3 linked regions of the Lonchura striata genome follow. Each later gene encodes a partner of the first gene's protein in a complex. Links are inferred from orthologs where the notes say so. Each region holds a gene or a part of one and is shown in the gene's direction. Other genes may lie near its edges.

Region 1 (9,727 bases):
TAGACTGGCACTTTGTTATAAATATTTTTCTTCATATTCACTGGGAGAATTTTTATTGTTCTGGACTCCAAGTTTCAATATTAAGTTATCCTAAAATTATTGTTGATTTAACTGCAGTATCAAAAAACCCAAGTGTGAAAATACATACAGTCCTGCTCTAATGACTAGAATTAGAATGAATGCTTTCCTCAAATCTGACAATAACAAGCAAAGCATAAACTGTCATATCAAATAGTGATGGTTTTGCTGCCACATCTAGCATGCTTACTCAAATATGAACAAAAGCAATGGTGAGAACAAAACAGTGTTGATTATCTTGCTGTTGAATGTAGGTCACAAAGTTTTTGCAATATAAATTTTATCAAATTCAAATATGTAAAACAATTCATCTCACTTGCAATGGGCTGGATCTTGCATTTCCATCTGGTGCAGACTTCAATAAGAGAATTTTTACCCCTGAAATTAGAAATTGAGATCAGGCTGTCTTTAGTCAGTCCTGCACCAGCAAATGGAATGAGAACTACTCAGCAAGATTACCCCCTCCTTCCCCATGTGAAACACAGACATAAAGAAGATATTACATGCCAGGAAGAAAATAGTATTTTGGTATGTGCCATTGATTATCAAAGAACTGTAGAACCAGAGAATCATTTAGGTTGGAAAAGACTTTTAAGATTATACAGCTCCACTGCTAAACCAGCACTGCCAAGTCCACCACTAAACCATGTCCCTATGTGCCACATCTACACATTTTTTAAATACCTCCAGGTATGGTGACTCAATCACTTCTCTTTCACAGTGCTTGACAACCCCTTCCATGAGGAAAATTTTTCTAATATCCAATTTAAACCTTTCCTGATGCAATTGAGGCCATTTCTCCTTGTTCTATTACTTGTTACAGAAGAGAATGACCCCCACTTTTCTACAACCTCTTTCCAGGCAGTTGTACAGTGATAAGGTCCCCCCTGATCCTCCTTTTATCCAGGCTAAACATCTCCAGCTCTCTCAGCCACTCCTCACCAGGCTTGTGCTTTACACCCTTCTCCAGGGTCATGCACACAATTTTTGCCATGTTTCAGCAGGCACATTTTGGCTGAACCCAGTAACATCTGGGGGTTCCAGCTAGTGGAGCATGTGTTACACCAAGAAGAAAGGTGGAATGTGCTCAGCAAAATGCTTCTTACGGCAAAGGGCTGGCAAGAATAAAGCCAGTACAGATTTATTGCCTATAACACCCCCACAAAAGACACTTGAGGCCCTTGGTAACTGTGTCCCATCTATTCACACAAGTGCTGCAGTCACTGCACTGCCAAGAATTTTTCTGAAAATGCTGATTACTGAAGAATAAGTTTATATACAAGCATAAAACCACATTAATACAACTTTAATTCTGGCACTAACGTAATCAATTTGGATTTTTAAAAAATGGTTAAGAGACAGAGGGCCATGCTCCTTCGTCTTTTATACTAGATTTGCAATGGTGTAAATAAGACATGATAACACAAATAATATATACAGAAATGGAAATAGAAAAGCTTGATCAAGAATTAATATTTGCTACGGATTAACTGTGAAACAGCATTTTGTAGTTTTGCAATAGGAATTTTTTTCTGACATATGGACTACTATGGTCAGTTGAGTGATTTTCAGTACTTGCAGTAGAATCATAGAATGAAATCACAGAATCTTTTAGGCTGGAAAGGACCTTTAAGGTAAGAGTCCAACCACAAGCCTAAATCTGCCAAGTCCTCCAAACAGATACACAGAAAACTTTCCAAAAGGTGCCTCATTCTATCAATACCTGTTGCTCCTGTGCTCCTTCACAGAAAGATCTCGGTCAGACATGACATAAATAAATTTAGAATGAAGTGAAGTAAGAATGAAAAAAATTTACTTTTGTTGTTTGTCATTCAAGTGCATAAAGAAAAAGATTTGTTAGCTGTAATAGATCTTTAGGAATCTCAGTGCAGATAAATTATAAGAATTTCTGCAGTGCAATGTTACTGTGAAGTACAAACCATGTATTTTAAACAGTGACTATATAAGAAAATAGTTCAATTGGCAAATGTAAGGAAACTGATTGTTTAGGACACTTGAATGGCTTTTTAAAACTTCATGATGACACTACATTTGTGCTTCTTTTTTCTGCATTATGGGAGGGTGAAGACATACCAAGAAACTTAACTCTGCTAATTTTATGTTTTATGTCAATCACACTTTCTCATTGAAGGTAATGGAAACTTTGAGGCCTGTTACTCATGTTCATACACTGTAGGATGAGGTCAGCATTTCTAAATATTCTGCATATTTATTAAATACTTGGAAAATTAATGAAATTTTAGGCCACTAATATAAAAAAGATTTAAAAAAAAGAGTGGGTGATTAGTAAATAACAAATTGTTCATGGAAAAAGTCCTGCTTTCTTTTCTTCCCCATGCTTCAGGCTAGCAGTGGATTCCTGATTTTCAGATTCAAAAAAAGGCAAGACTATAAAACCTGACCTCCAACCTTACTTAATTTTACAGGAAAACTGTTATTTGATTCCACCTTTTCTCAAAACTGGGCTTCAGTTCAAGCTTACTTGTAAATCCTGAAAAGCTTGCAGGTCGATCACAGACCTTCCAGAATGCCACATCCCTGGTCAAGCTCCATTTTCCAGCCCTGGCTGCTCCTCCACGCCTCAAGCAGCTTGCTGGGAGCTAACCTGAGCTCCATGCTCCTCCACGCTGCAGCCACACACAGACAACTTCTCTCTTTCATCCCCGGGTTTCAGTGAGCTCCACAGGCACTCACGCTGTTCCCAGTAGGATTAGCTTGCAGAGAGTCTTGTTATATAGTTGTAAATAGCACAGTAAATTGCAAGCTTTGAATACTTCTTTGATAAATCATAGCAGTATTTTCTCTGGAATCTTTTTCATTTTTCAGCTGTTGTTCAGTGTATTAGTGCTGATTAATCCATACCCTACCCTAGCTGAGGTGTTAAGCAATCCATGCATTGCACAGTTCAATTGTTAGCCACGTGTTACTGTTGTTGGAACTATTTGCAGCTATAATTATTGCCCTAAGAAGCTCTATAAGCATCAGAAATGAAGCTTGCAGAAAATTATATTAATGATGAAAGAAACATTCCTGTGTAGCCCTTTAATTATTTATTTATTATTTGATGTTATCACTCCCTGATCTTCTGGTCTCCTTTACATTATATTGAAACAGTACTTGTGAGTAAGGGTGGGCTTGCTTATTCTGCCCTACTGAAACCATTTCCTCTGTATGTTTTGCAGTTACTTGTACCCTCTCTTTCCCACACTAACATGTCAGTACTTTTCTGTTTGCCACTCCGGTGGGTTCTCCTCTGGGAGAGCACCTCTTTCTCAGCTTAGTGCCCAGAGCTTGCTCAACAGGCCCTTGGAGGCAGTCCTGCTGGGAATTTAACATGAACGCTTTCCTGCTGAGAAGAAATGGGCATATGCTTGATCATTCAGGTAAGGAAGGAACCAGGTGGGGCATTCTCATTTATTCTGGAGGGGTGTTGCCAGTGTTAATCTATTACTGTTCTGCTCAGTGCAAAACTGTAGGTGTTTTGGGGCACAACTAACTAACTGAAGAACATCTGGTTTCTGGTTACTCAGCAGAGTTTAGGCATGAATTTGAGCTAAACTTCAGAGTCCTATCAAGGAGCAGAATCAGTATTTTTGTTCAATATTTACTGCTACTCTTAGTGTGAGAGCCCAAAAATGAGGAGCTTTGTCATAGTAAATTACTTTATCTAAATAAATTTGTCATGGTCTTGTGCAACCTGTACTAGTTCACATATCCAGCCCCTTTCCTCTGTGCCTTTCTCCAAGACTTTAATCCATTCCCTACATCTTTCTATCCCAGATCTCCTCACAATATGTCTCATATGAAGCAGAACTTTTGTGCCACAGGGCCATGACTGTGCTGGTACCCTTGACATCCCCGTGGGGAAGCAGAGGTACTCAGCTCAGCAGTTACAGGTAAGTACCCAAAGAGGTGCCACTTCATGTGGCAAAACTGTCAGGCCTAGGGAAAGCAACAAAAGCTGAGCTATAGATACTCTTCAGACTGTTTGAGTCTAAAGGCTGCAGAATCATTTTAGAAAATGCTATTTCAAACTTGCATCCAAACCCTGATGAATCCTACGTACCTATAGGTAGGTGGATAGGTGAAGACAACTGGGAGTTCTTCCCACCAGCTCCCAAGTGCCAGCTCCAATCCAGAAACAATGTAGATGAGTGACTGCATGCTTTACAGATTGCAACTGAAATATTGTGCTGGCTTTGAGCCCGGGCAATGTGAGCACTCAGTTCTTCATTTGTGCATCTCAGTTTTGATCCCTTTGCCACCTTTAAAATAAAGATGAGCACTTTTCTGTTTTATAGAAATGGTTGTGAGTTAATACATTCAAGATGCGATCCTTAAATACAAAGGATGCAAAAAGAAAATGAATACTGGGTCTGCTCCTTTATCTTCACCTGTTGAACTAAGTGAATATATTAAAATATAAATATGTAAGCACATACAAAGAATAAAAAAAAAAAACAACAAAGAAAAACAACCTACAGATCGAAAAGAAAACAAAAATTTTCACTGAACTTTTAACTGCTTTAACAAATAAGCTAAGAAATATTTTCCTGGATTACTTTCTACATTTATACCGAGAGTGTACAGTTGCCACAGAGACTGGCGTGCGTGAACACGGGCAAACGAAAGGAGTCGGGAGGGAGTTCGCCCTCTGAATTTCCAGAGGGATGTGAAATGAATAAGTGGGTTAGCGATGCGGCGGGGCGGGGGCGAAGCCCGAGGACCCCCGGCCGTGCCCGGGGGCGGCGCTCAGGGACGGTGCGGCCCCGGGACGCTGCGAGGGGCGGGGGCCGGGCGGGCTCCGCGGGGAGAGCGGCATGTACGGCTACATCCATTAAATACCTATTTAAATCGCAGCCCCGACTGCTGGCACACGGGCCGCGTGCGGCTGCTGCTGCCGCCGAGAAGGGAGGAGGGGGCTGGAATTAGAAGAAGGCACGAAGCGGTTTTAAAAATAGCGTGCGGGCTGCGCGGGGCGGGGCGGGGCGGCGGCAGCGCGGCCCCGGGGCGGCCCGGCCGCGAGTTCCTGGGAGCCTTGTATGGAGCGCGGCCGCCGCAGCGCCCGGCGCCCGCCCCCGCCGCTCGCCGCCACTTTCCCCGCTGCCGGCAGGGAAGGCAGGAGCCGGCAGCGATCCGCCCGTCTCCAACTCTACCGCCCGCTTCCCTCCTCTTCTTCCAGGAGCCGCCACCCCGCCTGCCTCTCTCCTCCTCTTTCTGCTCTGCAATCAGTGGAATAAATCGGGGAAGGACGCGCGCACACACACGCAGAGTGGGATCTGTTACAAAAGTAGCGCTGATGGCGGCGGATCAGATGGAGCTGGAGCTGCTGCTGGAGTAGCAGAGAGTGGAGTATCTCTCGCTCGCTCTCTTTTCTGTGTTTCGCCTCTTCCCCCACTCCACCCACAGATCTCCATCGTTTCTCCTCCTCCCCACCCTCGGCCGCGCTCCCGCTTTTCCGCGCATCTCTGGGCTGCGCCTCCTGCGAGGGGGCGGGTGGGGGGAGCGGAGGAGGCTTTAAAGAACCACGGCCCCCCCCGCACCGCCACACACGATAATTGAATTTATTATTACTGCCGTCTCGCCGACTTGGGGAAGGGGGATCGATCTTCGATCAGGAAGATGGCTGCTGGCTGGCTTCTGGTCTTTATCCTGACACTTTTCCAGTCCGTGGTGATGAACCACTCCTCGGAGGGACCCTTCCCCTCGGCCACCACGTAAGTCCCAGCGGGGTCCGGGGGTCCGGGCGGGGGCACGGCCGGGGCGGGGGCGCTCCTCGGCGCCAGGGACAGCGACAATACAAAGGGAAATCAAGTTAGACCGGGCGGAAAGTGCAGATCGGGGGAAATTGTAGGATTTCGGCAGCTTTTTCTTAAAAGAGTCAGGGTAGGTGAAGGTCCCGCCGGGGCGATCTCCGGGAGGGGGAAGCTCCGGTGACGGCCGGCGGCGGGACTTTTGAGGTAAAGGCTTCGCCTTGGAATCCCGCTCCGGAGCGGCTCCCAAATATACCCCGTCGGGTCATCCTTGTGGAGAAGAAAGTTTCGAGTTACACAGAGTCCGCCCCTTCCTCCCACAGAGGTTATTCCAGCCGGGATGGAGTTTCAACATTGTTTATATAAAAAAACCTGAAAACTTCGGCAGTTTTATCGAAATCCACGCGGAAGGCGGATTTCGTTGCCTTTCCGCGGGCGGCATGGGAAGCGGGGCAGGCGGGCACGGCTGCGAGTTCCGAGCCCCGGCTGCCTCCTGCCTGGCCGGGCTCCAGCGCACCCGCGGGGCTCGGGGCTGCGGTGGGTCCCGCGGAGGGGCTTTGGCACGCTTAAAGCCACCCAGCCGAAGGAGGGATTTCTTCAGCCTTGGCCTTGCCGAGCCTTACTTCTCCGAAATATCTTCGCGAGAGCTGAAGGATGCTCGCGGTGCACGCAGCTCGGTGCCTTGCCTGGCCCTGAGATAGAAATCTTTAAAGCGCTGCAGAATTATTAGCATGAAAGTGTTGCCCAGAGCAGTGCAAAGATCAAATAATAATGATGCAATAAAAGAAAGGCAAAAGGAAAGACAATACATATTGAAGATTCGCCTACAGATAGGAAAAAATATCCACGACAAAGCAAAGCACGATGTGATCGTGTTTTCTTCCTTTTTCTTCTCTCTCACCTCATTATATTTATAGTCTTTTTGTTCGGTTGGGTTTTTTTTTTTTTTTTTTTTTTAAGCACTTACCTTAGTTCTCGAATCTGGGTTACAGCTACCAGTAGGTAACTTTTAAGTGGATGACTCACTTTAATGCATTTTACATAAGAAAAACAGTGCTAATGGTAGTCTTTTCTTATTGTTTAACATTGGGTAGAATTTATTGGTGTCATTCATCCTGGGTAGAAGGATGCCTTGCAGTAATTACCGACAATGCATTTTCACCAATTAGTACTGCTGGTAGGTTGTTATAATTGGATTCAGTTCTGTGTATCGGTTCCATTATGAAAGACTCAAAGGGATGCTCGCACTGTTAAATGAAAGGACCACAAAAATAAGTGTGGAATAAACACTTAGTATTTTCTAAGTTGAATAAATACAGTTTTCCATTTTAGAGAAAATTACCTTTTAAAACATTCTCGTGTAGCAGTTTATAAAGATGTGCCATGTAGAAGCAAGTGTAGCAAAATACAAACCCAGGGCTTTTTAATTCATTGTTTTCTTGTGTTTCTCCCATATTTACGATTTTTTGAGCTCTGATATTTGTGGTTTCTCACTGAGCTGATAAGGTTATCATACACATCTAATTACAGTTTATCTTCTGTGGGGATTTTTCTGGGTTTAAAAAAGAAAGAAAAATGGAACCCAGTGAAATTAAAAGAATATAATATAAAAAGATTATGTATATATCCAAATAGAAGTCCAGATTACTTTTTAACCTAAGAATATGTGATATTCTTTTAAAACTGTTTTTGTCTCCCCATCTATTTTTGCTAATTTCCTTCCGAATTTACCTTTATTGACAATCATGATACTAGAACTTGACAACAGTGAAACATATAACTTTAATTATAAATATATCTATGATAAAGTAATTCAGAATATTATGTTAGTCATCAACATTTCCATGTTCTGCACAATCTACTTGCTGTTTACTCTCTTTTTTTTCCTCATTGTTATTCCATTGCAATATTGCAGAAACAATCTATAGTGACTGTGCATCCCTCACTACTGTTTCCCCTTTGAAATGGCATCAAAGTGCAAGCAAGGCTTAGTTTGTTTGGAAGGCAGCGCACAACAGGTTGATGCAGGGAGAGCTGTTTGGCAAAAAGTAATGATGTAACAGGTGAAGGAGAAAGCAATTTTTCTAATCTTCTTTAAGACTTGACAGCAGTGTTTCATTTCTTACTAAAAATTACAAATGGGAAAGAACAAAGAGAAGTGACGCAAATGCTCTTAATGTAAAAGATATTATATATTAAGAATATTAAAAATAGGAATAAAAAACACAGAGGAGAGGAGAATAAAGGAAAGAAAGGATATGAATAATTGAAAAACTGGAGTTTTGCTGATATTATGTGCATAGTACCTTCTTTCTCCCCATTATTTTCAGTCTCTTTTTTCTCTTAGTGAAAAAGTTGGTCTGAGGAAGGAAGATATCTTAGCTGTGTTGTGTGAAAAATGTGCATATTCAGGGATATAGAGTATATGGTTTCTTCAGCAGCTCATTAGTGCACAATCACTTTTCCTTCAGTCATCTGTTTCTTCTACATTAATAAATATTTTAACATGAGTCTTTACTGAAACATTCAGGAGTCCCTATCACAAATATAACAATATAGAAGCATGTAGTATTCTTAGCAAGAAATGCTGAAGGTTTATGCAATGCTTTTGTGATAGAATTTTAGTAATTTGATTTATTTTAATTCTCTGATAAGGTAAAAAGGCCCTGATTTGTTTACAAAGCAAAATAGAGATTTTCAGGTGCAGGTTTGTGTTGTATGAAATGCTAGCATTAATTTTTCATTGAAAATCTGAGCAGGTGTTATTGCATTCCTTGCTTCCAGTGTTGAAATATTTCACTGCAAATATTGAAGATTGTCCTTTAATAAACTATTGAAGTATAGTAGTAATTGTATCTTGGACTGAGCCATAAGGCTTAGCTGCTGATTGATGTATATTGCATTCCATTTAAATGTATCATATTAATTGTGTCATATGTTAGGGATCTGTTTGTTGGTACAAGATACCATGTTCTTACTTTTAACACAGCAACTCCAAGTCCTTTAATTACACCTGCAACACAGCTGATGTTTTGCACTTAGATGAGAATATTGTATGTAGTACTCCCAGCACTATAACCACTACTGCTATAACAGTATGCAAAGCACTTATTTTTTGTAGCCATATATATTTATATATTTATTATGTTTACAGACTTCAGAAAAAACCATACAGTTAAATACACAAGGTTTGTATGTTGCCTGATAAGGATAGCAGAGGAGTCAGATTATTTCTGTTCTTTTCTCTACACTGCATCAAGACAAATAGTCTTAAGTATATCTTGTAATTCCTAAGTATCTTTTTGGCACAGCATGTGTTGATATTGTTACCGATAGTGAGTAATGTACTACATAAAGACACACATTCTCCTTTCTGATAATAAACCTGTTTGTACTGATTAAAAAAGGAAAAAAACAAACAAATGAAGCATATTTTAATTTTTATAAAACTATGGATAAAATGTTTCAAAATCATTGGGACTATTTCTGTAATTATTGCATCACTGTGGATATATCTTAATGTCTTTTCTTTTTATCCCCCCTCTAATTTTCCTCTTCTACTCCTTTTCTCTCTTTCCTTTAGCATTTAACATTTTTTCCTCCTCAGTCACTTGTTCTGTATGTATGTATCACATTAAATATTAAATTCAAGACAGATCTGCCACTTACATACATTGGTGGATAAAGATAATATAAAGATAAAAATAGTATATGTATGAACGTATATCTATATGTATGCAGACAGGACATTTTTAGAAAAGAAGTTGTGTTTTCACATTTTTGACTTGCATGAATCATCTTTGCTGTTTTGGTGTCATTAGGACGACTCAGGGAAGTCTGTATGAGTCATATGAATTAGGGCTTGCACAGCTGGG
Region 2 (10,089 bases), about 51 Mb from region 1:
TTCAGTATAGAAAGAGTCATTGTTGAAGATGAAATGTTGACATTGTATATCAGGCCAACATCATGGTAATGGAGTATTTTAACAAATTAATCTAATCATCTTCCTTGCAGCTGATCCGTAAGATGATGTATTTTTAGACTATTTTATCTCATTAGTGATTATTGCAAATCCTCCAAAATCTGTCAGAACTCCAAATTGCTAGCTTCCTTGAGTTTGTCAATAATTTTCTGTGTTGACAAAGCATATTTAAAAGTTTTGAATCTTTAAATTCCTAAAGACGAGGAAAGAATTTGGTCTTACAGCCCACCCTAACATCAATTTTTTTCTCTCTTTTGAACTCAGCTTATGAATTTTATACTTGGAATTGGTTTTCCTAGCTAAATGTGTTTTTCTGCATTGCCTTCTTATTTTCACTTTGTGTAGTTTTCATTGTTTGCTAATTAGGTCCACTGAGGTTTCCAAATGTCAGCATCATGTAATTCTAGTCACTGTCAGGTCTTCCTCAGCAACTTGCAAACATTTATTCTTTGAAGAATCCCTCCCGTCCAAAATAGTCTTTTTGTGCTTGCCCTAAATCCAAAATTCTGTTTGGTTCTTAGTTAAGAACAAGCTACAAACTCCATATTCTTGAGTATTTTCTAGAACTATGATGGAAGATTAAAACGGTAGTAAGCGCTCAATTTTTTGTTGTGTAAGCTGTGGCAAGTATCTAAGATACACTCAAGAGTTTGCATGATTATTTTCAACAATGTAGGCTGATTGGATGAAAAATTTGTTTTTCATTGTACATCTCCTTGTAGACATTATAAGCCCATGTCTTGTTTAACTGATGATTTTAGACTGGTATTAACCACAACAATTTTGCTTTTTTGCTTTTCTCTCTTCTTTTTTCTCTTTTTTTTTTTTTTTTTAATTGGCAGAAGCTAATGAAACAATGCTGAATTTAAATCTCTTTGTGTCAGTACCTAACCAATCTAGATAGACTCAACTATTTCTTATTTTAAATAGAAGCAGTGCAACATTTTTGTTAAGTTTGGGTCTTTCCCTTAAACTGTTACGGCAGAGACACCAAATTTTTCCAGACAATACTTTTGTATTTAAATTCTGCAAAGGTGTTAAACCTTCCTCCTGGCTAGGTATGATGATGATGGCATAATGAAAACTGGTAAAAGTTCTTTTCAAGTCTGATAAGCACAGCTGCATTTATGTTTTAACTTGGGACAAATGCCTATTTTGTTTTTAGAGTGTTGAAGCAGTTGTTTGCTGTTACATCTTAAAATTCTGCATGGATTTGTGCACTGATGCACAGTAATCAGACATCAATCCCCTGTTTACAGGGATAAATGGTGACTGCTTCCATTTCTACAGCTGGAATTTAAAAAAGCACTTCTGCCACCACCCATTGAGTCACAGATCACAGCTGACAGCCAGGATAGCCAGTGAGATTTGAATAAAATCACACTTTTGGACACCTAGGTTACTCTCTAGAGCCTTTTGCAACCTAGAAAACCAAAAGCTACTTGAAGGCCATCAATTTCATCTACTTCCTTCTCTTCTGGGTCTAATTACCATTTATTCTCCTAACTAGCTACTTTCCTACCCAGCAGTCAATTATTTAATTCTTTCTTTTTTTTTTTTTTCCCTCAGATCTAACATTTTCTGTCATTTACTAATACTAGGCCTTAATATGCTTTAGTGGGCCATACAACTACCTTGATAATCTTATCATTTCCCTTCTAATTTCTTAGTTGCTTGAAAACATTTAAATGCAAATATAAAAGCTAATAACTGAAATTTCAAGGTCAAGTAACCACTTCTTTTAATTTGAATGTAAAAAATACATCTAAATTTCCCAACTTGACTTTGAAAATCAATCTTTTTCACTGTATAAAATTTCAAAATTTCCTGTGTGCATGTAACTGTTACAGATTTTAAGGAATGAAATCACCTAGAAATTCTGATCATCAGTCTTCTGCTTCCCATCCATACCAGACTTTTTTCATCTTGAGAAAGTCTCTTGTGTTCTAGCTAGCTGATAATTTTGAAATGTCTGCAGTTTCCTGACCACACTTTGAATAGCTTTAGATAGGATTATCAATTTCTTTAATTTCAATTAAAATTAAGCAACCAACAAAAGTAAAATAAGGAACATTTTTATAAATCTGTATTCATAGGTTCAAAAAGGTAATTTTTTTTCATTAACAAATAAGAAGTGTGGAGAATGATGCAGTTTTAGATGATGCATAGTTCAAAAGCATCAAAAATAACTGGGAGAACAATTCTTAACACAGCTGTCCTGAAATATGAGAAAAAATTGTTATCATCAACATTTCATTTTAAAAAATTTACATTGTAGTCATGCAATACCAGCAAATACCCAATACTGGTATTTACTGTGTGTGGCCCAACAATGCAGTCTTGTCAGAAATTACAGGAGTTGTTAGGAGTATTATGTTGCTCATGCACAGTGATTCTTTAGTGTGCCCAGGATTTCTCAGACTCTTGCTTTAGACTGGAATGGTCATTTATTTAAAATAATATCCCATAGTCTTCAGTGCAAGACAGTGCAAATTCTTATGAGCAGCCTTCTCTGTTGGCAGAGGTGCAAAACCTAAAATCTGTGGGGAAAAAATACCTTTCGGCAAAGTAATGCAGGGCTCTGGCACCGTTTCTCTGAGCTGGCCCTGGAAGGAATTGCATTTGTATTGTGAACATTAGTACCATTTCTGGGATAAAATGCATTTATTTTCCACTTTTGAATAATTTACCCTTTTCTTTTAGAGTAGAAGGCATTACTGCCAATATAGTGTGAGCACAATCTACTACAATTAGACAGGCTATGAAATAGGCCCAGTGGAAATCTGACATCATTTTAGGAGTACTGAGGCTGCTTAAAAGAGCCTTACAAATAATACATTATAAAAATAGTTCAATGCAGAGTTTCTTGCACACTCTGCCTTAATCTCATTGCTTTCCAGCCCCATTTGTTCCATACAGCATGACAGTAACTCCTCCTTTTGGAAGCAGGGAAATGTTCTCCTGCACAACCTACTCAGGTGTTTCCTGTTCTGAAGATGAATGCAGGTTCTCTTCTGGATTTGGAAGAAGTTGTTGTGCCCAGTGTACTCTTTATAAGGCTGGACATCAGGGAAGGGCTGCTATATTGTACACAGAACAAAACATTCCTGACACGAAGAATGGACTTGCATGTTCACAGTATGTACCCTGCAAGTCATTTTTTGACACTTTACAACTTTAAATAGCAGTTTTTTCAAGAATCTCTGACTTGGTGCTTTATATGGCCCTCATCACTATTGTTCTCAGAGCAACAGGAGAACAATTTTTCTACTTGTACCACTGTATGGGATAGAAAATTTGTATCTTCACCTTAGAGAGGCCTAAGGCTGAATATACATGAGATCATTTGTCCAGTCTATCATCATGTATTTAAAGAAAATCCACAAGCAGGCCACTGTGAGATACCCTTGTGTCTGATTGTCCATTATCCATCTCACCTCCAAATCTGCTGGCTGCCGTATCAGGCAGGGACTAAGAATTTTTGAATCGGTTTTGTGTTGAAATAATATTTATTTCATAATTTTCTTTAAAGCTTATCTCTCACTTGTATGTTCCTCTTTGGGTGTGTCTGTGGGGATTGAACTCTGAAGAAGGCTAATTTTCTTAGTTTCTATGAAGGTTAATACCTCAAGTTCTTACCTGATGGAATACCTATTAAATGTACATTTCAGCAATCACATTAAGAAAAACTCTTACAAGCAGCTTTACTTTACTTTACCACCTCTTTACCAATCTTGTTTTCATGGACTACATCTTCTTTGTGTGTTTGGATAATGCAAAAACTTTAGGGGAAGGTGTGGTGTTCACTCTTATGCCACGTGATTCATTAGCAGGGTCTTTCCATCTTAATCCTACAATCAGTTTCCTTCCACGTCTCTGTATAGGAAATTATTTTATTAGAATTGCTGAGTAAGGAAACCTCAAGTTATAGTAGAATTTTATTTGTGCTGGAGAAATTAATGCCAGCTAATAGTGTTGTTTCTTGTTCTATTTTTCTTCGGTATTTGATTTTTGGTTATTGGCCCGACTTGTGTCCTACTGTGGGAGCTTGGCAGAGAGAGAGGGATAAAGAACAGAGGAAAAGATTTGTAGGTGTCAGAGACAGCTTGTGTATGTGCCTGCATACATATGTGAGCTGGCATAAAGCAGGGCTATGTGGATTTTAACTGCTTAAATAATACTGTACATTATTCTTCAGCTAGCTGAGGATGTGACCCCAGAAAGGCAAAAGAAACATTTACGGGTGCTCCAGCAGTGTTTGATTTCTGGGCAGGGGTGATCAGTACGCATTTACTTCCCAAGATACCTTGTCCATGCACGGGTGAATCATGCAAGGCTCAGTTGACTCATGGATGGAAAAACTGGAGTTAGCACAACTCAAAATGGCAAGGATTTGCGGTCACAAGAGAAAAACAAAATGTACATTTACACAACAAATGTAGGCAGTGAAGTATCTTCTGTTCAGTCCTTTTTATAATGGTGAAGGGAGGATGACTTTTTGAAAAAAAGGAAACTTGAACTAGGAATGAAAGCCAATATATTGCCATTCTACCTCTAGTTAAGATCTTGCCTGATCTGGCAAATGAAATGGGTAAGTGCATGTGACATTATTAGAGAAAAACTAGGCAAGAGAGGACAGAGTATTTTAATTGCTCAGAGGAACTCTTCCTCCTGAGTCGGAAATAAAGCTGTGCCTCTACATGCTGTCAATGGCAATATGGTGTTGGTTAATTACCCTTTGAATAGCATCTAATGCAGAAGTTGTGATGATCGGTGGTTATTAGAAACAACAATGACCTTTATTTAGGACAAGTGATTTGGCTGCATCAAGTTTTTGGTAAGTGCTTTACATCTATTCTAGTTTTTGTAGTTCCAAATTGATGTGTTGTGTGGTGGGGTTTCTTTTTTTTTTTTGTTTTTTTTTGGTTTTTTTTTGTTTGTTTGTTTGTTTGTTTGGGTTTTTTTTGTTGTTTCTTTCTATGAATCTGTTAGCTGGTGGTGCTTTCTATAATATTTTGAGCTCCAGCTGAAAGAGCTCAATTAAAGTGGAGGGGTGAAAGCTTCATGAGGAGATGGATATTTGATACTGAAAGGCATCTGTAGAGAAGATACTAAGTTTGGTCAACAGTATTTCTTTTATACGCTTTTTTTTCCCTATGTAAAATGGAAAACCACTTGAAAGGAAATAGCCATGGTGTTTTAAGCTCCACAAATAGTATTGCATGCATGTGTTGTTAGGTGGATACTCGGTTATGGTGAGAATCTGTAGCCCTGGGTCTGCTCCTAGGACAGGGTATTCCAAGCGTTCACCTCCGTGCATGTCAGAGTGGTTCAGTTCTTTGGGTTGTGGCAGCTTCTGCAGTGATTCTGAGGGGTGTTTTAGGACTCTGCATCTCTTGTTTAACATGGCAGCTCGGAGAGTCCAGATAGGTTTAACATGTACTGCATTCAGTTCGCATTTCATTTTAAAGGAGTCGTTTCTGCTCTCTGCGGAGGCTTCAATTATAGAGGGCCAAATGACAGGCATAATTAAGGCAAGTGGTGGGATACCAGCGGAGCACTTCGGCGTTTCCACCGAGGATTTTGCAAATCCTAGCTTGATTAATCTGTTTAAACATCTGTGCATCCTCTCGTCTGTGCAGCTCACCGCTGGGTACCTCTCCCTTCCGCTGCCTGCCGCGGGGGCTCGCACAGAGCCGCAGCCCGCTCCGCCGCCTCGCTGGGCGCTCGCACACCGCGCGGGCGGCTTCGTGCTCCTTGAAATGCGGCTCACACTCGCATTCCGTAGCGGAACCGCAGGGCAGAGCCCACGCTGGTGAGGCAGCGGGTCGGAGCGGGGCCGGTGCGCGGTGCCGTGCCGCTGCCCGGTCCGGCCCCGCCGCGGCCCGGCCCGGCCCCGCCGCTCCCCTCCGTGTCCCCCGCTCCCCCAGGCAGCAGCCGGCTCCAGCTCGCCTCCTTGACGTCATGTCTGTGGCGAGGCTTCAGCAGGCGCAGTGGAGGCAGGCAGCGTGTTAAACTTTCAGATCAAGTCCGGCGTCTCCCAACGCCGTGCGCGGGGAGCTGCGTGCAGCCGCCGCAGCTGGAACATCTGGAAGCGTTCAGTGTGTCTGTCTGTCGGCGAGAGGGAGAGAGCGGGGAGCGAGCGCTGAGGGAGGGGAGGGAGTAAGGGGCTGGGACTGTGCTCTCTTCCTCTGCAGAAACAGCTCCCTGCCAACACAACGCGCTCAGAATGGCTTTGAAGAGGAGGAGCAGCAGCGTTTGAACATCTCCCCCTTTTTTTCCCCTCTTCCTCCTGTTGTTAATCTTGTAGTTGGTGGATTTTAAAAAGACATTTAACCCTCAGAGGTTTGTCCTGGATGCTTTTGCCTTTTTTTCCTTCCCCCCCACCCCTCCTCTCGTTTCCCCCCTTCCTGTTCTTTTTTATGGTTTAACAGCCAGAGGTGCTGTGCTAAATTCTTGGAAGGGGCCCGGATGTACTGAGGATGCATTGCAATTTCACTAAAGGAGGCAGTAGTGGAAAGGATCAGTTTTTGGTGTTTGATGCAATAATGGGAATCAGGTAATAATAAAAGGGGAAATTCTGCAGCTCCATTCTTCCTTGAATTTTACCAAGCCGATTTTCGGAGGGATTATTCTGGACTCGTTTTAAATGGTCAATGAAAACAAGAGGATGTACATTCCAGAAGAAAACCATCAAGGTAAGCCTGAGATTTACCTCTGAGGACCTAGCAACCGTTCCCTCCCCTGCCCTTTGTCCCTTATCTCCCGGCTCAGCTCAGTCGCCGCCACAGGCAGAGGACAGCCTTTGACACCGGCTTCCATTCGGAGCGCGTAGCTCCCCTCGGCCGGGCGTGCTCCGGGGAGACCCCCGCAGCCCCTCTCAGAACGGCTTTTCTTAGGAAAGCCCGGGCAAAGAAAAGTTGCTTTAAAGTCGCCGTCGTCGCCTTCTCAGGCGAAGGGGCGAGGAGGGGCGGCCGGTGAGGGGGCTGCGCGCCGGGCCCGGGGGCTCGGGGGAGCCGCGGAGCAGCCGCTCCCCCGTGTCAAACGAGAATTAACTCGCAGGGCCGCCGGAATTAGGGGATCTTTCCCAATTAACCTCCTCCCGGTCCCCCTAAGCTCCATCTGGGTACGGCTTCCTAAGGCACCGGGAGAGGAGCCCTTCCCTTCCCTTACGCTATTCCCAATCTCTCGCACGAAAGGGGAGGGGAAGGGAGAATTATCTGTTTACACACATGTGCTCCATACATGCGCTCATGCTGAGAGAACGAGGGATACCGGGGGTGTCTGTATTAAAAGGAAAGCTGGGTTTTACGTGGGGCAGTCATTTCTCGCCGAGCTCCTCGCAGGATCGCCTGCATCATGGATACCAACCCGTGCTGTTGCTCCTCGGCATTAGCAAATGTCCCCCGCTATTCCCTGTAGTAAAACTTTGTTTGTCCAAACTCCAGAAACCTTCCCCGCCCCCGCCCAACCCCGATCTGCCGTTCCTGAAGTTATTTTTATCCCGTTTACCTGCATGGTGTCACCCCCTCCCCTCCCCTCCCGCCCTGGCTGCACACACACACGTCGGTGTTGCGGAGCAGGCAGAGCCATTTCCTCCCCTCGACGAGGGAAGAGCAGCGCTCCTCCGGGAGCGGTGTGTGTCTCTCTCCCCACAGCAGAACCCTCAGGCCAACTTCTCCCTCATCGCCCCCTCATGGTCCTCAGGGCAGCCCCTCCCCTCCTCGGCCGGCGACAAGTTCCCTGTGACAAACGTGCCCCCGCCCGCCGGCATCCAACACCTGCTCCGGGGGCGAGCGCGCCCCGCGGAGCCCCCAGGTAGCCCCGCGGAGCCCCCAGGTAGCCCCGCGGAGCCCCCAGGTAGCCCCGAGCGCCTCGGAGGGGCGGCTGGAGGTGCAGCTGGGGAGGGGCAGCAGCGCCGTGGCAGCCCTCAATGGTGGAAGGGCAGTGGGCTTTAGAGATAACACCACCCTCCTTCCGACTGAATGCAGATTAAAAAGAATAAAACCACCCAGCACCCCCACCCCTAAGCACTCCACCGAAATGAGGTGGGAGGGGAAAGGAAGCAGCCCCTGATCCAGAGTGCTTCTTCCAAGTGGGAGCGAGTCTGCAGCACATGCATTCGGCAGGCATAATTGGGCTGCTCTTCCTGGTCCAGCGCTGATAAAGTGGATGAAGAGCTCAGCCTCCATAGCAATATGCCAACGCTATGGCAACCTAAATCCAGCTCCCTCCTTATCAGCTGCAGTGATTATATAATTGGAGGAACAGTTTTGCATCTGTCTCTTGATGCGGATTGTCATTACTCCCAGGTGAAAGAGCAACTTCTAAAGCAAACAGAAAATCAGCCAGGTGGAAGAGAGTTATGTTCCCTGGTAGTGCTCAGGTGGCCATTTATTTACAATCTATTCCTATTTTATGCAAACAGCACCTGAAAGGTTAAATTGATCAGTAGTCAAGAAAACCTGGTGGTGAGGAGATGGGAGCAAACCAATCACAAGGTGGAATGGAGCCATTAAAGCAGCCACAGATTGCAAGGTAGTGATAGAAGAGGGGTAGAAGGTGAAGCTACGTCTGGGATCCTGGTCTGCTCCTTGCTTCTGACATGCAAGACTGATTTAGATCAGTCCTCGCTCTTGCATCCTGCACAGTTGCTGGCAGAAAGGTGAATGTTCCAGGTTCTTGGTGGTGCAAGACAAATTTTGATGTCTATTCTTGAAATGTGACTGATGTGAGCAGGCCTCTGCTAGCAGCTGCTGCCAGCATAGGTCTGATGTCAGCCCACCTGAGCTCACACTCAGCTACCTGGGCAGCAGGGGAGCTGCTCCAACAAGGCTTACTTAAGGTAAATAAATAAATAAAGCATAGAGGCCATTAGTTACATTGTGAGTGCTATGGGGGAGAGGAAGTGTATTTGAAAGGGCTTTGTTGGCTTCTTAACTGCCAGTTGGGTAGGTTTGTAATAATGCTTGTTTTACACTTCTGAGCATGACTAGGTATCCTGAAAATCTTTGGCCCTAAAGTAAGAATTTCCTCTTTTTTTTTTTTTTTTTGGTTGCTAAGCCTGCTGTGCTTTCATGACAGTCTCCTATTGCACAAAGGCAAGTAAATAGTGTGTTATTTGTTGATGCTGAGACACAATGTTCATTTTGGTGCTACACAATGGAGTATATTTTTTTTAATAGTAATTATTAATTGATACAGCTTATGCTTGTCTAGAAAATGACAAAACCCCACCCAAGAAGCACCAGCAAAAGCTTCCAAAACTAACCACATCGCATCTAGCGCACATGTGGGACTGGGCGGAATCCTAGACGGGCATCTTTAGTGCGCTCCCTCTTAAGACTGTTGAAAACTTGCTCTCTTGGAATAAAACAGAAAATCGCTTTGCAAAGCCACGTGTTGCAGCCCCCAGTCGGGAGGGAGAGAGCGGAACGAGCCCGCCCGGCCCCGGGGTGGCCGCATCGGGGTGCCCGGCGCTGCTCGGCCTCGCAGCGAGCTGGCGGCTGGCTGAGCTCCGTGCCGGGCAGCTGTGGCAGGGAAGGAGGCGGAGGCCGAGGTTTCGCTGCGGTGCTCAGCCCTGGGGCCGGGCTGGGGAGGGGTCCCGGCTGCCTCTCCCGGAAGGTGGCACTGCCGGGCCGCGCTGCCGGCACTCGGCACTGCCCGGGATGCTCCGCATGGAGCGCCGAGACGGCTAACCCGGAATAAAATTCATTAGGATTGAAGAGCCCCTGCTAGGTCATTTATTCCGTGCAGTAATGATCCTCTGAGCGAAAAGCCACCGTGTCTGAACTACCCTGCCTTCAATTTCAGATAATGCCTTTGGGCTTTGTCCTTGTTGCATTTTTTGAACAGATTTCTACCTGCTGCTTGTAGAAAGAGAACCCCCTCAGGTATTTGTCAACCATAATTAGGTCTTCTTGCAACCTCCTTTCCTAACCTGCACATACCCTGTTCTTGAAATGTTTCCGTGTAAGACACTCTTTTCATAGTCCTTGTATCTCCTGTATC
Region 3 (9,324 bases), on another chromosome or scaffold:
CTGCAGCCACAGAGGGACAGGGAAGAGCAGAGGTCCCTGCGTGCTTCCCACATGGCAGAGACATTTTAAACACAGGAGGCTGGGCAGCGAGGCAGAACGAGTGCCAAGAAAATCTGTGCTCCAGCTGAAAGGTAGGATTTGGGAAGTGGAGAACAGCACTTGTTTCAGAAATGGAATATAAACTGAGGGTCGGAGGTGGAGCAGCAGGCAGGGCAAAGGCTTCTCCTTTGTGCTCAGGTTTCAGTGACAGGCTGGAGCTGCTGCCTGTTTGGTGATAACCCAGGTGACAAAATTCAGCCAGAGCATTCAGAGGGAAATTTGCTGAAATTTTTATTTGCTGAAATTTTTATTTGCTGAAATTTTTATTTGCAGAAGTTTTTATTTGCTGAAATTTGTATTTGCTGAAATTTGTATTCGCTGATATTTTTATTTGCTGATATTTCTTTTTGCAGTCTGCAGTAGCTGATGGGTGAATGAGATTTTTAGGAGGTTTTTTTCAGACAAATTTCGTGCTTCTTGATCATCCCATTCAGGATGCAGATTCCCTGTGATTCAGCTGGCCAAAAGTACAGTCCCAAAAGAGAAAGTTCCATGTTTTTGTCTGTCTCCCACAGGACTCTGGTATTTTTCTTTTGCAACCTCATCTCATAAATTTATTACTGAAATTTTATTTTTTTTTTTTTTTCCAGGGAGGATTGTCTGGTTTTTGAAAAATTCCTACTTTGGGAAAGTTTAGTCTCACTTTACATAAACATCCTGAGATGTAGGATGATTTTTTTTCTTCTCTGGCCTTGTTAGCGTTGATATTATTGCGAGAGGGTAAATATTATTAAAGATGTTTCAAGTTCCATGTGCTCTCCTGTTGTTAAACAGAAGTCTGTAGTTTGGCACAGGCAGCTCCTTGGGGACAAACCTTAGTGTGAGCATGTGGAATTTACTGGAAAGTGCTTTTTTCACCCCAGGGTAGAATTCTGAGTATTTACCAGCTGTGGAAGGCACACAGCACCCCTTGCCCAATTTCTCTTCCCTGTGGCAATTGCAACTTCCTCTCTCCAGGGCAGCAGGGCTTGTTCCTGATGGAAATCTGAATATCTGGATCTCTCCTGCTATCACCACCTATGGGACCAGCAGGCAATTTGGCAGCTGGGCTGGAGGTTTTGCTGAGTACACTGGGCTTCTTTGTTTTTAAAGCTGCTTTCAGCTGGCCCTGGGCTTCATCTCTTGTCTCTTTAGCTCTGTTTAAACTCCCCACAGGCTGATTTGGTAGAAAAAACACACAGCTCAGCTTGAAAGGCACGAGTGTGGTACTCAAAAGGGGCATAAAGAGCTGGAGTTTCTGATCCAGACTGGTCAACTTTACAGGCACTGATGGCTCCAGAGAGGGTGGGGAGCTGCACCCCACCACTAATTCCTGCTGGGACGTAGAGGGTGGGTGATGACATCCTGCTGCAGCTTCCCTGGGAGGGGAGGTGGTCCCTGGGTGGTGTTCCCTGATGTGCTGTGGGTCCTAAGCACAGGACAGAGAGCATGGGCACTGCAGAAGGTGCAGGCATCACCCTCAGAAAAGCTGTTGGTCCACTCCTGCTTGGCAGAAAGCAGTGAAAAGTCAGCTCGAGGTAGGCACTGAGTGCTAAAATGCCTGGGGAAGAGCAGAGCTCGCATGGGGGTCCATTCCCAGTCTCACACTGCTTCCTCCAGCCCACCTCACTGGTGTTTGTCTCGCCTGCTCTCAAATCCCAGCAGCTTCCCTGTTGTCTGTCCCACAATTTAAATAATCCTTGCCATTGAGGTGGTTGTTTTCTAGTCTAATCTACAATTTACAGCCTCGTCCTATTGCCTGTGGAAGAAGAGAATCCCTGTTGGGATGCAGAACAATTTATTCTCACACCCTTTGCAGCAACCCTTTACATAATTGAAGACTGCTACCCAATCTCTTCTGGATTTCCAGACTAGACAAATCCAATTCTTCCAGGCAAATTTTTCCCCATCAAGTTGTGCTTTGCTGGTCTCTGGTCACCCTCTGAGCTGCCCCCTGATAGTCTGCACCTGGAATGTTTGTGGCTGTATGAGTGGGGAGGAGGAAAACCAGATGGGATTTTGTGCTGTGCTGTGGGTTAGAACCTTGGAGGTCCTTGAGGTTACTCTGCACAGTGCTGCTGGGTGGGATGAGGGTCAGCAGAGCCCATGGATCAGCTCCAAGTGCTTTGGACAACAGGCTCAGGCATCTGCAGGTGCTTCCACGAACCTTTGAGGCTTTGCTCAAAGTCAGACGCCCTTGCATGTAGAAATGCTCATTCCTGCCTAGCTGGGCTTTGCAGCCCCGCGTTTTTTGGCTCTTTCCCTTGGACTCTCACCCCGCAGGGCTGGGGGAAGCTCCTGCAGCTCCTTGGGAATGCCGGCAGCGCCGCTGCTCCCCAGGGATGACAGCAGCTCCGTGCCGGGATGTCGGTGCTGCTCCTGATGCTGTCGCTCCGTATTTCACTCCTGTCTGGCTCTGGGTGGTGGGAGGAGATGCTCAGCTTTGTCTCGGTGCCGATCAGGAATGTCTTTTCTTTCGGGATGAGGAAGCTGATCTGCATTCGTGCCCAGTCATCCACGGAGCCGGCAAAATTCTTCACGTAACGAGTTCTTGGGGAGAACCTGGCTTCTCCTCCCCCTCCTGCTGCTCTGGAGCTGGAGCAGCCTTGCTGGGGAGGCAGAGCGGAGCCCAGGGAGATGGGTGGTGGATGGTGAACTCTTCAGAGTTCAATCACCCCCAGCTCCCACCGTGAGCAGGTAACCATGGAGACATCCGAATCCAAGGCATCCCTGGTCCCCAAGGAGCAGCACGTGTGTGTTTAAATAAACACACCCTGGCCTTGTCACTGGGGAAGTGCTCTCGGAGCCTTCGAGCTGGCTCCCACCTGGGTAAGTCCCAGCTGCAGAGAGGCCATGGAAAACAGGATTTGGGAGCACCACGCATGCAGGGCTGGGTGTGAGATGGTGGCAAAGCCCCTGCTCTGGGCAGCTGGAGGGATGCCCTCCAACAGGGAATGTTCTCATCCATATCAGGACCAGCTTCTGGGAACACGAGAGAATGAGTGGGAATTACTGACAGGAGTGGACCCTGTGGCACCATTTGCACTCTTCTGTACGTGCCAGAACAGCCTTGCTTGGGCTGGATTTTGGTGTGCAGGGTCCTGGGAGTTGTTTGAGGGATTTCTATCCATCCCAAGGAGAATGGGAACATGTAGGTTTTCCTCCCCGAGGTGCTGGCAGGAGTGTGCTGGGGCAGGAGCATGAATGAATGAAGGGAGTGCTGGATGAGATGTTTAAATGAAGCACTCATCTCCAAGATTCCCCTCATTCAGATTTAGGGATGAAGGTTTTAAAGAGACAGCAGCCAGGCTGGGTGGCACAGTGTCCCTGTCAGGGGGTGACAGAGATGCCAGCAGGGCACTGCAGAGCCACACGGTGTCCTGGCAAAGCACAAGGAGCAGAAATGCTGCCCGTGTGCCACGGAGCAGGGTTGTGTGCCACGGAGCAGCACCTGCCCGGGCTCAGGGTCAGCTTCGGGGCAGCCTTTGTGGCCAGCCCAGGAAGCTAAAAAGTCCAGGATGCTGCTGGACGTTGCCAAGCCACTCGGGTTTCCTGGGATACTCTGCAGTGTGGTGAAAGGAAAAAGCCCAGGCAAAGGGACATCGTGGTGTGGGCCACCCAAAGGAGCCCGCAGGATGTGGTCTCCCAGAGGAGTGATGAGATTTTGGGGACTTCTGTGCCCAGCAGCTGTGCCGTGCCAGGGGGGATATAAGAAATCTGTGTGCTGCCTTGGAGCAGCAGCCCTTGGCAGCACCGGTGGCAGTGCTGGGGGGTGACACAGTGCTCCTCGAGTGACACAGAGCGGCTGTGTCACCTCCAGCCCGTCCACCCTGCCCCTCCAGGTCCAGCTGTCCACGGGCACTGCCTGGGAAAGCCAACCAGAGCCCAAGCAGAAGGAGAGGAGATGCACCTCTGCAAACCAGGCTGCAAATGGGGTTAAGGAGGGAGCCCGGAATGCACAACCCCTTCCCAGCAGCAATTTCTGATCAGGGTAGGGTGGGGTGGGGGGGGGGGATATGCATCCGTGTCCCTTGTCCCCACAGGTGCCCTCACTTTGGCTGGTTGTCGTGGTCACCATGCCCTGGTGTGCACAGGGAGGAGGAGAAGGAGGGATGGGGGAGCCCTGACACGGGCTGGGGGGCAGTGGGGGGTGCTCTGCCAGATTCGTGGGTGCTGCTGCTGGGCCCCCCTGACCCCAGCTGGCCTGGCTGGGCAGAGGGGAGCTGTGTGCCCCGTCCTTGCCCCGGGGCTGTGCCAGGGGCTGTGTGCCCGGACAGTTGCCGCCGTGTTTTGTCTCGGCTCCTTCCCTCCTTTGTTATCCCCCGTCTGCCCCCTCTGGTTTATGTGCGAGTTCCCTTCCTCCGATTGTCAGAAATTTCTTTTTTTCACTGTGTGGGCAGGAGACAGATTTTAACTGTCTCTATTTTCTTCCTTAAAAAAAAAAAAAAAAAAAAATTCGTTTTATCCCCCCTCCCCCTTTCCTTCCTTCCCTACTCCTCTCGTCTCTCCCTCCCCTCTTCCTCTCCCCTCCCTCCCTTTTTTCCCCTCCCTTCCCCAGGGCTCTTTTCCTCCTTTTTCCATAACAAATCATGCCTCTGGAATAACCCCCGGCCGCATCCATGCCTCTGTCCCCAGGTAAGCCATGCCTAGCGGGATGGTGGCCCTGGGCTCTCCCAAAGTCCGCGGGGACATCGTGTCCCCCCCATCCCCGCCCCGCTCGCTGCTACCTGTTGGGGACGGTCGGGAGACGCCAGCTGGGGCTGTCTCCATCCTCCTCCTCCTCCTCCTCCTCCTCTCTCTGAGCGATTCCCGGTGGACACCTCCTCCCCTCCCTTCTGTCTCCGCCGCTCTCCGGGATGCGCGGGGCTCCGGGGCTGGAGCGCGGGGGAAGCAGCCGGCGGCCAGCGGCCACAGGTGGGTTCCGAGCGGCGAGCTGGGGGGCTCCAGCAGCGCTTTGGGACGACACCCCAAGTTTGAAGCCCGGCTCCCGTGGTTTTTCCCATTCCCGAGGTTGCTCAGGTGCCGGGGATGGGCTCTCGCAAAGTTTGTACTAAGGGAGCCTCGGCTCTCTGCTGAGGGTGCTCTGGAGGGGGGGACTGGGGGTCCCGGGGGACCCGCCACCCTCGGGGAGGATGCTGTGTACGCGGGGCCGTTCTGGGGGCTGCCCGCCCTCGTGGAGCGCTGGGTGAAGCCGGATTGAGGTGTCACCCCCTCTGTCCCCCTGCCCTGGGGAGCCCTGGCCGGGATGCAGGGCAGCGCTGGGCTGCTCCGGCTCCAGCCCGCCTCCCCTGCCAGCCCAGGGCTTCCCAAACGTGTTGGAGCTCTTGGCTCCTCTCCTCTGCCTACCCTCGGCACCCAGTGCTCCGTGTCGTGTTGTGTCCCTGCACCCAGTGGCTTTCTGTGGGTCCAGGTGCTGCTCCTGGGCGCTGCCGGTGACAGTGATGAACGAGCGGGGTCCTAAATCAGGGTTTGTTTGCCTCGTCGTTCCGGCTCTCCCAGCTCCTCTTGCGTCGCAGAGCGTGTGTTTGGGTGCTCGTGGCTCCGGCGGGGCCAGGATAACACTTCCCGCATCATCAGCGGTGCTACCTGGAGCCTGCCCCACGCTGTGCGCCCCGGGGCTCACATCTCCCTCAGCCGGCTCTCCGGGCTTGCTCCGTGCTGCACAGCGGGCTCAGGGTGCCGTGGGGCGCGGTGACACTCCGGGCTGCTCCCCATCCACGGCCGGGCTGCTTTGGCAGAGGAGGCAGAGCATGACTGAAGGCGCTGCCAGCGGGATGAGCCGGGCGCTCGCAGCCTCGGCTGCTGCTGCCGGCTGCTCTGGTGAGGCTGGGCTCGGCCATCACCCGCTGAGTGACTGGAGAGACCGAGTGCCATCCAAACATGAGCCTTTGGAGGGTTTCCTGCAGCCCCCTCTTCCTGCTGCAGGTGGGCTGAGCCCCCTGGATGCGGCACTACAGGGCTGGGAGGTGAAGCTGGTGCTGGTGGTGGCATCAGGCCCTGGCACTGAACTCCCCTCTGCTCTCTGCTGCTGCCTGGCAGAGTTGCTTCACTCCTCAGCGGTCCTGGAACACCTGGAAAGTTTGTTCGCTGTAGTTTGGGAAGCATTTGCACCCCTTGAGTACCTGTGGGGGGTTCCTCCTCCTCTCCTGCCACGCAGGACAGTACAAACCTTTTGCCAGTGACAGGCTGAGCGAGAGCACAGTCCGGCCCCTTGGCACCCTTTTGGGGCAGGTGACAGGGTGATGCTGAGGCAGAGCCTCCCCCTGGCTCACCCACACTGCTGAGGGCACTGATGGGAGCTGAGCATGTGTGTGAGACCTCTGGCAGCACTGCCCGTGACCCCATGCAAGCAGCCCTGTCCCCCGGGCCGTGTGAGGCTGCAGCCCCCCGTGCCCCATCCGCGGTGTGGCTGAGTCAATGCACCCACCCACTGCATCCAGCGTGTGACTCACGGCTTTTCATGCACTCCTGTGAATCACTCACAGCCACAACGATGACTTTGGTGACAGCTGAGAAGAGAAACCAGTCCCCCCCGGCACACCCCCAGCACCTCTGCTGCTGCCAGACCGGCTCCTTGCTCCCAGTGACCCAAGGAAAGTTCTGCGAGTGGCACTCGGGTGATGGCAGCCGGAGTTCCTGCTCATTCCTGCAGCCGTGGCTGCCGCTGAGGATGCTCGTGGCTGGAATTTAGGGGTGGACCCCGGGCTGATGCAGTTCAGGGGGTGACTCTTCTGCTCTGCTTGCTAGATTGGGGTGAGTCTGGCGGTGTTCTGAGCCTCTTCCCTCAGGGCAGGGATGCATTTTGGGCCAGTTCTCTTTTGGGCCGTTCCCTTTTTCCCCTCTGCCTCTCGGGGCACTGCCCGTGGTGGTGTGGAGCCCACGCAGACCCCTGCCCTGGGCTCTCCCCAGCCCCTGGGCAGCGGCAGCACCGCCTGAGCCCCAGCGTGAGCAGCTGGTGATGAGCGAGAGCTGCCAGGAAAAGCTCCACATCCCCCCCGTGGCTTCGGCTGCTCCTCTCCGTGGCTGGCAGATGGTGGTGGCCAGCAGCTCGGCTGGTGGCTGAGATGCTCTTTGCTGCCCTGGCTCCCCCGGGGCCGGAGGTGCCTGTTGGAACGCAGAAGATGCTCATTAATTAGCCTCCCCCGGGACCGCTGTCTGTCATCTTCCTGCCTCTGCTGGAGACAGTCCAAAGGAGCAGCCTGGGGACACACTGCTTTCTCCTGCCTCCACGGGCAGGGATTCCAGCACCCTGCATCCCTCTTTAACCACGGGCAGGGATTCCAGCACCCTGCATCCCTCTTTAACCACGGGCAGGGATTCCAGCACCCTGCATCCCTCTTTAACCACGGGCAGGGATTCCAGCACCCTGCATCCCTCTTTAACCACGGGCAGGGATTCCAGCACCCTGCATCCCTCTTTAAACACGGGCAGGGATTCCAGCACCCTGCATCCCTCTTTAACCACGGGCAGGGATTCCAGCATCCTGCATCCCTCCCCAGCCATGTGCTGGGGGTCAGTGGAGCATCCCTGTGTCCCCACTCCAGCGGTGTGTTTAGGAGGAGATGGATAAATCCAGTGCCTTGCATCTCCACAGAGCTGCAGGGAAGGCAGAGCCAAGGAGCAGAGGGCACCAGACAGGGCCCCCAGGTGCCTTCCAGCTCTCAACCTGCCTCTCATCCATCTCCCGAGTGTTTTCCATGCTGCTTTGCTTTATCCCTGCCTGTTGCTCGTGCAAAAGCTCTTTCTACCCTCCCCTCCCCGGTGCCGGCTCCCCACCAGCATGTCCCCTCCTTCCTTCCTGCTCCCTGCGGCTGAAATGAAGTGCTGGAGTATTTCAGGGATGTCAAAACATACCATTAGTCACGGGCGTGAGGCCTCGTGCCTGGGGAGAGGCTGCTGAGCTCTCTGTCAGGCTGAGAAATGATCAGGGCAGGCGGGAGCCCGGGGGCTTGGGCGAAGGCTTTGGGCTTTCTCCCTTTCTGATACCTCCGGCATCATCCTGGCTTTGCTCTGAGCAGCTTGGCTCGGGTGTCCCCTGGCACCAATTGTTCCACAATTCCCCAGCGGTGGCATCTGCAAAGTGAGGGGGGTGGGATTCTCCCCCCAAAAAATCCCATGTCAAGGCAACCCTCTGCTTGTACTATTTATTGGCTCAGAAGGGTTGTTTTTCTCCTCTTCAGCAGAGATGTGTTGGGATCTGTGCTCCCTGCTTCAGAGGCCGCCTGTTGTGGATTTAAATCCAATATTGGGTTTTCCAGGCAGTTGTTTAAAGGAACCAGCACAGGCACTAAGACACTCCCTCTGGCAGTTTGCCATCCACAGGCATCTGTGCTTCCCAGCCTGGTTCTGGGTTATTGTTCTATTTCTTTAGTGCCAAAACACTCAATTTCCTGTCACTTAATGAGCAGGGAATGGGGGATCCCATTAAAAACACCCCAAGCTCCTGGTGTGCAGCGCCTGCCCCTGGCATTGGTGAGATGCTGGAGATGTCTGAGCCTGATCTCTGCAGGAAGGGCAGCAGAAAACTCAACATTATCAAGGGGAAGAGACTCAGCTTCATCTGCTCCCATGGTTCTGCAAGGACTGCTGCCTATAAATAAGCACAAACCAGCTGGAAAGGTACCTCAAATCCCAGAGGTGTGGGCAGGCCTGAGCCTTACCCCTGACAGCACATCCCTGGAGAGAGCTCATTAAGCTGTGGCTAACATTTTTGTGGAGTGTTCTGGTGCAGCCAACATTTGGATTCCCCTTGCCTCGTTTCTCCAAGCTGCAGGCAGAAGGTGCTGAGGCTTCCCAAGCAGGGCTGGGAAATCGTACCCGGCTTAAAATTAATTAAAGCTTGCCTTTCAAGGAAAAGAGCACCTCTTGTGCACGCCCCCATGTCCTGGAGGAGCCCCATGGTGGGTCAGGGTGGTACTTCCATGTCGGTTTTGAGATGAGTTTTAATTGAAACCTCCTGTGCTGACTGTGCCTGAGAAAATCAGGCTGTAACTAATGGGAGTCATTCAAGATGGTGGCTAATTACTGTGATTAACCAAGCAACACTTCGGGCTACTCTTCCTCCTGCTCTGCCTCTCATCCTGGCCTCTGGGGAGAGAAGGCTGCAGCAGGCAGGGAAGGATCACATCCTACTTATTTGGGGGATTGGGAGGTGGGGCACAGCTCCCCAGCAGTGGGGTTGTGTGTATGGCCATCTCTGAACCTCTGCTTTCCCTAAAAATAGGAGTTTTTCTCTCTGGAAGCAGC

The links.
Region 2: the proteins of CACNA2D1 (region 1) and CACNA1C are in contact, whole or in part, in a cryo-EM structure (PDB 8WEA), measured with the Homo sapiens proteins. The link is inferred for Lonchura striata from reciprocal best matches to the Homo sapiens genes CACNA2D1 and CACNA1C. Residues at the interface, in NP_001353796.1 of Homo sapiens: Thr170, Asp171, Tyr173, Ile233, Leu235, Gly262, Ser263, Ser265, Lys270, Thr274, Ala327, Lys328, Gly329, Ile330, Glu366, Gln391, His392, Tyr394, Ile416, Gly417; in NP_955630.3 of Homo sapiens: Phe147, Pro148, Glu149, Asp150, Asp151, Ser152, Asn153, Ala154, Asn678, Lys1090, Gly1091, Asn1092, Tyr1093, Ile1094, Tyr1096, Gly1099, Val1101, Pro1104, Ile1106, Arg1109, Tyr1156.
Region 3: the proteins of CACNA2D1 (region 1) and CACNA1E are in contact, whole or in part, in a cryo-EM structure (PDB 8EPM), measured with the Homo sapiens proteins. The link is inferred for Lonchura striata from reciprocal best matches to the Homo sapiens genes CACNA2D1 and CACNA1E. Residues at the interface, in NP_001353796.1 of Homo sapiens: Thr170, Asp171, Tyr173, Ile233, Leu235, Ser261, Gly262, Ser263, Ser265, Gly266, Leu267, Lys270, Ala327, Lys328, Gly329, Ile330, Thr331, Glu366, Gln391, Asn393, Tyr394, Ile416, Gly417; in NP_001192222.1 of Homo sapiens: Gln110, Leu112, Pro113, Glu114, Asp115, Asp116, Lys117, Pro119, Arg122, Asn630, Phe631, Asn632, Asp633, Gly634, Ile1330, Gly1331, Asn1332, Val1334, His1336, Met1341, Val1343, Arg1346, Arg1393, Ser1394.

The regions. Positions count from the first base shown.
Region 1 is NC_134607.1:63,576,445-63,586,171, reverse strand, and holds the start of CACNA2D1 (voltage-dependent calcium channel subunit alpha-2/delta-1), read left to right. Parts: upstream 1-5,607; 5' UTR 5,608-5,721; coding exon 5,722-5,816; intron 5,817-9,727. UniProt on the Homo sapiens protein: The alpha-2/delta subunit of voltage-dependent calcium channels regulates calcium current density and activation/inactivation kinetics of the calcium channel. Plays an important role in excitation-contraction coupling.
Region 2 is NC_134607.1:12,784,335-12,794,423, forward strand, and holds the start of CACNA1C (voltage-dependent L-type calcium channel subunit alpha-1C), read left to right. Parts: upstream 1-6,089; 5' UTR 6,090-6,727; coding exon 6,728-6,776; intron 6,777-10,089. UniProt on the Homo sapiens protein: Pore-forming, alpha-1C subunit of the voltage-gated calcium channel that gives rise to L-type calcium currents. Mediates influx of calcium ions into the cytoplasm, and thereby triggers calcium release from the sarcoplasm.
Region 3 is NC_134611.1:2,000,191-2,009,514, reverse strand, and holds the start of CACNA1E (voltage-dependent R-type calcium channel subunit alpha-1E), read left to right. Parts: upstream 1-4,896; 5' UTR 4,897-4,992; intron 4,993-9,324. UniProt on the Homo sapiens protein: Voltage-sensitive calcium channels (VSCC) mediate the entry of calcium ions into excitable cells.